Linked DNA regions of Nothobranchius furzeri. The protein of the gene in region 1 interacts with the protein of each later gene in a pairwise test. Links are inferred from orthologs where the notes say so. Each region holds a gene or a part of one and is shown on either strand. Other genes may lie near its edges. The genes, in order: slu7 and ppil3.

The links.
Region 2: the proteins of slu7 (region 1) and ppil3 interact in binary tests that used the Homo sapiens proteins (3 or more experiments, as listed by UniProt). The link is inferred for Nothobranchius furzeri from reciprocal best matches to the Homo sapiens genes SLU7 and PPIL3.

The regions. Positions count from the first base shown.
Region 1 is NC_091741.1:96,576,282-96,580,545, forward strand, and holds the start of slu7 (pre-mRNA-splicing factor SLU7), read left to right. Parts: upstream 1-1,263; 5' UTR 1,264-1,491; exon of another isoform or gene 1,492-1,503; intron 1,504-1,615; 5' UTR 1,616-1,627; coding exon 1,628-1,776; intron 1,777-1,943; coding exon 1,944-2,097; intron 2,098-2,175; coding exon 2,176-2,256; intron 2,257-2,370; coding exon 2,371-2,535; intron 2,536-2,725; coding exon 2,726-2,791; intron 2,792-2,903; coding exon 2,904-3,035; intron 3,036-3,120; coding exon 3,121-3,218; intron 3,219-3,294; coding exon 3,295-3,362; intron 3,363-4,264. UniProt on the Homo sapiens protein: Required for pre-mRNA splicing as component of the spliceosome. Participates in the second catalytic step of pre-mRNA splicing, when the free hydroxyl group of exon I attacks the 3'-splice site to generate spliced mRNA and the excised lariat intron.
Region 2 is NC_091750.1:33,241,693-33,245,443, reverse strand, and holds ppil3 (peptidyl-prolyl cis-trans isomerase-like 3), read left to right. Parts: upstream 1-1,432; 5' UTR 1,433-1,537; coding exon 1,538-1,540; intron 1,541-1,696; coding exon 1,697-1,771; intron 1,772-1,904; coding exon 1,905-1,998; intron 1,999-2,083; coding exon 2,084-2,151; intron 2,152-2,230; coding exon 2,231-2,349; intron 2,350-2,563; coding exon 2,564-2,690; 3' UTR 2,691-3,180; downstream 3,181-3,751. Other genes in the region: zgc:101858 (3-oxoacyl-[acyl-carrier-protein] reductase FabG), read left to right, coding at 3,312-3,335, 3,476-3,646. UniProt on the Homo sapiens protein: PPIases accelerate the folding of proteins. It catalyzes the cis-trans isomerization of proline imidic peptide bonds in oligopeptides. May be involved in pre-mRNA splicing.

The DNA.
Region 1 (4,264 bases):
GAGCATATATACAGTGTATTCTTAAACCCTGCCTGTTACTGATGGATCACCACAGGTTTTCTGTTACACGTGTGGAGGAGGAAATGAGAAAGTCACACTCACGCTCTTCAGATGAGATGTTCTGGCCCGAATGTGACTCAGTTCTTTTAATCTGGCAGAGAAGTTCATCAGAGGGACCCAGGTGAGCCGGTGGGGCGGTCAGGTGTGATCCTGAGTGATCGGGCTTCTCCCGTCTTCAATCGCCTGGTGACTTATCTGGGTATCCATTATTTATACATACAAAAGGCTCCACCTTAAGGGTGGCCCCAATAATATTCTTTGTTGTTGCTGTTGAATAACTAATCATCTCTACTGTATGGCCTATTCCATAGAAGTGTTGTGTGTGTGTGTGTGTGTGTGTGTGTGTGTGTGTGTGTGTGTGTGTGTGTGTGTGTGTGTGTGTGTGTGTGTGTGTGTGTGTGTGTGTGTGTGTGTGTGTGTGTGTGACCGAGGGTGTCTGCATCCCCCTTGTTGCATCTGGCGACAGGTATGGACCCCCTGTCAGCTCGATGGGGAAGAAGTCTCCCAGGGTGGTCTGCTCCGGTTTGGGTTGCTCCTGTTTTGCTCCCTCTTGTATGTATGAAATGTCAGATCCCTCAGCCTTTAGGGGTGCCCAGGGCTGCTTGATTATTTGGTCAAACAAGATGGTGACTTCACAAGGCTTTCTGTGAGACCCTGGAGCAGGGTCATGTCTAACTGGTGAGAAATACTTCAGCACATCTGATCTCCCAACTCTCTCCCACACCGTTCCATGGGAGACCCTCCTGGTTCCCAAGGTCCCAAGCCCTTCTCATATCGGAACCGATTTAGACCAAAGGCTTCTTTTAAATGCCCCATTGGGATTTATCTTTATCTGTTCCCCATGGGGGCATCCCATTCATTCATTATTCATTCATTCATTCATATGTTTTTTATGAACATATATACATGAAACAGTGTTCAGTAACTAGAACAAATAGAAGTGTACATATGTAAGTATATATATATACACATATACATACATATAAGCACCTACAGAGAGAAATTCAAAACCGTTTTAAAACGTTGGCAGCCCTGCTCAGTCTGCACCACAGACATATTTATTAATATATATTATAATTATTATCATGAATGTCTGCACATTTATTTCACCGAGTGAATGGTGTCCAGTGGTGTCGCTGTTAAAACTGTGACTAGAGCTATAAAGCAAAACACCACCGAAGAAGAAGAGCAATCACCACAGAAGAAGAAACGTAGCCCTCCCTCCCAAACAAAAATAAAATGGCGACGATGGCGTATTACTAGAAAAACAAATAAAGGGGAAAAAACGCGCTTTACGGAGGAAACTTTTAATTTGAAGACATAAATACCTTCTGGTGCCATATTTGTTTGATTACTACAAAGGAATTCTAGCTATTAAGTTTTATTTTTGTACGGATAAAGTTTTTGCTCCGTTACTCAGACGGTAAACAGGTTAGTTCGAAGGTGAAGTATGTTTTCATAAAAACCCTCACTAAGTTAACGAGATCGATCAGGTGTACAGATTTCTGTTATGCTGATGTAACTTAAATGCTTATTTTCATGTGGATTTCTGAAGACGCATCCAGTCATGACTGAGCAACCCAACACGACCTCTGAGGGGATCGTGGGCCTGGATGAGCCCAAGAAGATGACCAGAGAGGACTGGAGGAAGAAGAAGGAGCTGGAAGAGCAGAGGAAGCTCGGAAATGCCCCAGCCGAGGTGGACGAGGAGGGAAAGTAAGTGAATGGGGGGTTCGTACTGGTGATCCATTAAAATGTTTAGCAAGTTTAGATTAAACGCTTTAACCTGCATGGTTTGACATATCTCTAACGTTGGAAGAAAGGAACTCAGTGAAAAGCTTGGTTCTTCAGGGGTGTTAAATCAGCTGTTTTCTCGTCTCCAGGGACATCAACCCTCACATCCCTCAGTATATTTCTTCAGTTCCCTGGTACATCGACCCATCAAAAAGACCCACGCTGAAACATCAAAGACCACAGTCCGAATGCCAGAAGCAGTACTCCGCAATAGGGGACTGGTACAAGAGAGGCGTGCAGGAGGTCAGGAGCAGGACGGTGTTTATTAATGATTTATATTAACATGCAAGTGTGAAACTTGGCTTTTTTGTCTCCGTGTAGAATGCAGTTACCACTAAATACCGCAAAGGTGCTTGTGAGAACTGTGGAGCTATGACACACAAAAAGAAAGACTGCTTGGAGGTAACCAAAAAACAGCAAAACAAGAGATAATTAGTTTTCTAAACCTCAGATGAAATCTCATTTATAATAAATAAAATACTGATCAAGATTTGATTTTCGTCTTTGTTCCTTCAGCGACCCAGAAAAGTTGGGGCCAAATTCACTGGAACAGGTATAGCTCCAGATGAACACGCTCAGATCCAGCTAACGATGGACTACGACGGAAAGCGCGATCGCTGGAATGGCTACGACCCGGAGGAACACCAGCGCATCGTGGAGGAGTACGCCAAAGTGGATCTTGTAAGTTATCCAGCAATGAACCCTGCAGTACTTCTCCTGTGTTTGAAATGGAGAAAGTATAAGTACCTCAAAGGGTGACAACAATCCAGATGTTGTCTGTTAAATTAAAAGTGAGAGAATCTGACTCACACCTGACAGATTAGTTATTCGCCATCGGTGACCTGGATGAGTGATTTCCTGTGTTTCTCAGGCTAAGCGGACCCTGAAAGCACAGAAACTTCAGGATGAGTTGGCCTCAGGGAAGCTAGACCAAAGTGTAAGTGTTCTGTAACACGATAAATAACAACTGTTGTAAAAGTTATGGAACCATTATGTAATTTGGTCTTTTCTGGGTTTTTTTTTTTTTTTTTTTTTTTTTTTTTGCACAGGAGCGTGAACATGACAGCGAAGGCGAAGATGAAGACAAATATGCAGATGACATCGACATGCCCGGTCAGAACTTTGACTCTAAGAGACGAATCACTGTCAGAAATCTGCGTATCAGAGAAGACACGGCTAAAGTAAGGCAGCGATGAACCGATGGCGAGCTGTTTAAAACTATTGAGTGATGGACGTAAAACATCAGAAACCGTTTGTGTTTCCTAGTACCTGAGAAACCTGGATCCAAACTCTTCGTACTACGATCCAAAGACTCGAGCGATGAGAGAGAACCCTTACTCCAACACTGGCATGAACCCAGATGAGTACGTTATGATTAATGCTTTCATCGTCTTATCAGCAGGTTAAAAGGAAATGATAATGAAGTGCTTTGTCTAACAGGGTGGGTTACGCTGGAGACAACTTTGCTCGCTACACCGGAGACACGATCAGCATGGCTCAAACACAGCGTGAGTCTTTACTGTGATTTCTTTTCTCTGCAGAAGTGACATAATATAAAGAAAGTTTCAGTAGTGTGAGGCGTTAACTGAACGAACCACAGCTGCATTTAGACAGGGTGTCCGCGGGTCCTTAAAAAGTCTTAAATTTGCTTTTCCAAATTTAAGGCCTTAAAAATCCTTAAAAATGACAAATAGTCCTTAAATACAGTTTCCAAAGGTCTTAAATTACCAAAGACCCAATAAACAAGATTCTTTTATTTTTGTCAAATTTTCATGAATTTCTAGTTGGTGTTCAGCGTTTTGTGTGTACGATGTTGGCGTAAGCGGAACCGTACACATTCAGCTGGTCGTGAAAGGGGGCTATTTTTAGATGAGCACATTAGCTGGTTAAGCTAGTGGGAGCTTGCGCCATGGGGAAGTGCAAGTTTAATGGTAACTGGATGGCTAATCCCACGTTTGCGACATGGTTAGCACCGGTTCCAGGCAATAGCTGGAAATTATAGCTTAAATTTAATTTTAAAAATAGCTTAAATTTGGTCAAAGTGGCCTTAGAAAAGGTGTTAAAAAGTCTTAAATTTGGCTCCCTTAAACCTGCAGATACTCTGTTAGAGTTTACAAAAGTTTTCTGTGAAAGGAAGTTCAAGTTGTTGTGATGTAACATGTTCATAACCGATCAGAAGAAATAAAAATACTAGCCTTAACTTATTACCAGTGGTCACAAAACCTGGTGTGCTCCTATAGAAATGTTGGAAACGGCAGTAACCAAGAGACAATTTAATATAAAAATCTCCAGTTTCTGTTTTTCTTAACAGCAGAAGTAGTTTCATTTGTCTGAGAGAATCAGAGGAAAGCTGGTTTTCTGCTGCAGAAGGAGATCACAGCCACTGTAACAAGGAAATGCCGTTTTTGTG
Region 2 (3,751 bases), on another chromosome or scaffold:
TTCATTCCTTTTGTCCCGTGCTCCTCACTGTTGGCGTAAGACTTTAAACTAGGACAGGTTATAGAAACGCGTCGGACCCGAACAATGCTTTTGCACTACGGCACCTTTAGTCCCCGGTTTTCTTTTCTCCAACTGTAACACGGATACACTTTTTTGTTTCATACAAATTATAATTTGTACCGTTTTTTTTTTTTTTTTGGTCTGGCACTTGAATGACTGCCAGCCATGAGATGAAAGTGGCATTTTGTTGACTCTAACCACTTTTTCAGTGACCCGAAGCATGTTAGCGATACACGTCTTAGCTAAACAATGCAGATTTTTAGATGAAGAAATCTCTGAATTTTATTTAGAAGTGTTCTGGTGAGTAAAGGGTATTGTTGCTAGTGACATGGTATTAGTGACGTTTTTTATGTTAAATGTGTGCTGATTTTAATTCACTTTCACTATTTTTTGTGACATAAAGGTTAAAGATATTATTGTTCAACTGAACTCAGGAAACCAGCTAGTATTGATCCTTTTTTATTGGTTGCCTTTTTTCTTCACCACCCGTAGTATTATGATTAATTTAAACCAATATAATGTTATTTTGTATGCATTTCTATATAGTTTCTATGTTGATGGTTTAAGCAGGATGTGCTTGTGTTTCAAAAACAATTAGGTTTATTGTCACGTGTGATTTTAATCATCAGTATGCGATATTTAAGCATCGTGTCTGTTGTATTTATGAGTCACACAGGTCAAGTGTGTGTGTGTGTGTGTGTGTGTGTGTGTTTGCCCGTGCGTGCGCGCACACACCAATTGCGTGATGGGATGTTTGTACCATGCACACTTCACATGTAAAACCATCATTCTGGGTACAGTTACCACTGTCAAAACCATTGCCAAGAAAAACAATTTTGGTTTTGTGATTTTTTTTCTTTTTTTACAAAGATTTAAAATACAAAATAACAGTATTGATGTAAGCTTGGATCAATATTTTAGTATTCTGTTTGAACTAGTCTCTTTTTATGTCTTGTGCACCATCCTCTACAAACAATAAAATTTGGTTGGTTAACTAATTCCATCATTTTTTATTTTGTGTCTGCTGCTTTCAGTGTTATTATAGATGTTCTGTTTAATTACTTTGGTTGATTCAAACCACTTTTTTATACATATTCGACCTAAAGGTCAGTTGGGTGAGCCCCCTGCCCCTTCAAAAAAATCGTTATAACTTATTTCTCCAAATTTTTATATTTTAAATACTTTTTAATTTTTTTTTGTCGTGATATTTGTCTTGAGATAAAATTTCTCCTTTTTTTCTTTACATTCTTTACATGTAATTTAGAATAATTAAAGGATGTTATAACTCGGAATAAAACAAATGTATATTTGTGATATTTATATATTCACCCACTTTCTTTTATCTGTTTTTAAATATCGCAATGATCAAAAGACTTGGGACAAGCACAACCATAGGTCTGCCGGAACCACCTAGCGCTAGATACTCATCCCACCCGGACGGGTTTTGTGTGCGCACACCATCACAGACGCGTTTGAAATGGTGAGAATGTTTTCTAATTTTGGTCGCTTGTAGTAAACAATAGAATACCTCTTTACTGTATTGATTGAATAAGTGTTTTATTTAGCTAATGTACGCGTCCGGAAGTGACATTTGACTTTAACCGGAGTCCACGTGACGCTGTGTTCATTTTTATAGGCGGTTACTCTTCATACGGATCTGGGAGATTTAAAAATCGAGTTGTTCTGTGAGCGTGCTCCGAAAGCGTGTGAGGTACGTTACTCTTTACCTGTTTACACGTTTGACATCCGCTTATAAAACTGTGATGACTACTAGCTAGTAAAAGTAAATATATCAGCTTTAGATGTAAGTCTGGTGAATAATCTTACCTGTTCTTGTGTTGCAGAACTTCCTTGCTTTGTGCGCAAGTGGGTTCTATAATGGTTGCATCTTCCACCGAAATATCAAAGGCTTCATGGTGCAGACTGGAGATCCTACAGGTCTGAGCTTGTTTTTGTGTCGGACAAATATAAATATGAAAATGAAGATGGTTATTGCCCCTTTCTTATACAAAATAACATGCAGGCACAGGTAAAGGAGGCACAAGTATATGGGGTCGCAAATTTGAGGATGAGTTCAGTGAGCACTTAAAGGTAATTTAACATGAAGTCATTTTTATTTCATTAATTAGTGTTTATCAAAAATTTGATGTTTTCTTTTCTCTAATTTCAGCATAATGTAAGAGGAGTGGTCTCGATGGCGAGCAGTGGCCCCAACACAAATGGTTCGCAGTTTTTCTTCACCTACGCCAAACAGCCACACTTGGACATGAAGTACACAGTGTTTGGAAAGTATGTAACTTATACTTGAATGTACACATGAAGTACACAGTGTTTGGAAAGTATGTAACTTATACATGAATGTACACATGAAGTATAAAAGTGATTCATTGGTTACTTCACAGTACATAATACATTAATAAAGGACTGAAATCCATTAGGTTTTCCTAATTCATGTCCACATATATGCTTCCTTACTCTAATCCTCAAGCTCTTCCTCTTACAGGATCATCGACGGCTTGGAAACGCTGGATGAGTTGGAGAAGCTGCCCGTGAACGAAAAGACATTCCGACCACTGACTGACACCCGAATAAAGGATGTGACCATTCATGCTAACCCTTTTGCTGGATAACTGACTTGGAGCTTGTATTTAAAAGAAAGAAACACTTGGAAAGCTGCACGGTGCCTTGTCAAAGTTAACACGAATTACTTGTCCAAGCCTGAAAAACACAGAGAGAAATCTCCCTGAGAGAATTACAACGGACTAAAGCTGCTGGGTTGTCTTTCACAAAAACAAAGAAAACCTGAAGTCCTTGTTGAAGTCATTGTCCAGAGAATATTACAGATTTTGCAACTTGTTGAAAAATTCAGTAGTTTCTAGCTTTGTGCGTAAACCAGTTTGGAAGCGACAGAACATTGGTAATAAGTTATTCGTGTAATCCATTAAACAGTTTCACAACTGAATCCAAAAATGAAAAGGTGACATTTTAAAACCGCGTTGGGCTTTTCTTTTTCCTCGTGTCGAACAAATGTTAGCAAGTCCATTACTGAAGAAATCTTTATGTATCTGCGACATTTTAATTACTGTGCTTTTTCATTACCTAATAAAAAAATGCAAGGTGTGTGGGGGTGATGGCTCTAGAAAACAAATTAGTAGACCTATTCACACTACAAATGTGCTCCCGTCGCGTAAATTTGCGTCATCAGTCGGGGACGAAACCTGCCAGATTAGAAGGAAGCTAAAGTCGCCCAAATGGCTTCAAGCGACGCGTTTAAAGTACGTTTTTGTGTTTAACTTGCTTTTATTTCATGTAAATCCAATATGAAACAGTCTTTGGTTGAATTTAGAGCAAATTCTTCCTCCTGTTAGGTTACCGCTACGTATCCACGAGTCATCATGGGTGCGTTTGTTTTCAGGTGTCTTCCCTGCGGGGGAAGGTGGCCCTGATAACGGGAGCCAGCTCGGGCATCGGAGCTGGAACGAGCGTCCTGTTCGCTAAACTCGGAGCTCTGCTGGCTCTGAACGGCCGCGACGTGTCAAACCTCCAAAAAGTGGCCAAACAGTGCACTGACAGTGGGGCTACCGAGGTAAACGATCCGAACACCGGAGGGATTCGAGTATGGAGAGAAAGTTGGGACGAAGTATTGGGGCTACTGATTTTAAAAAAAGTCAGGTCGAACATGCAGACAGAA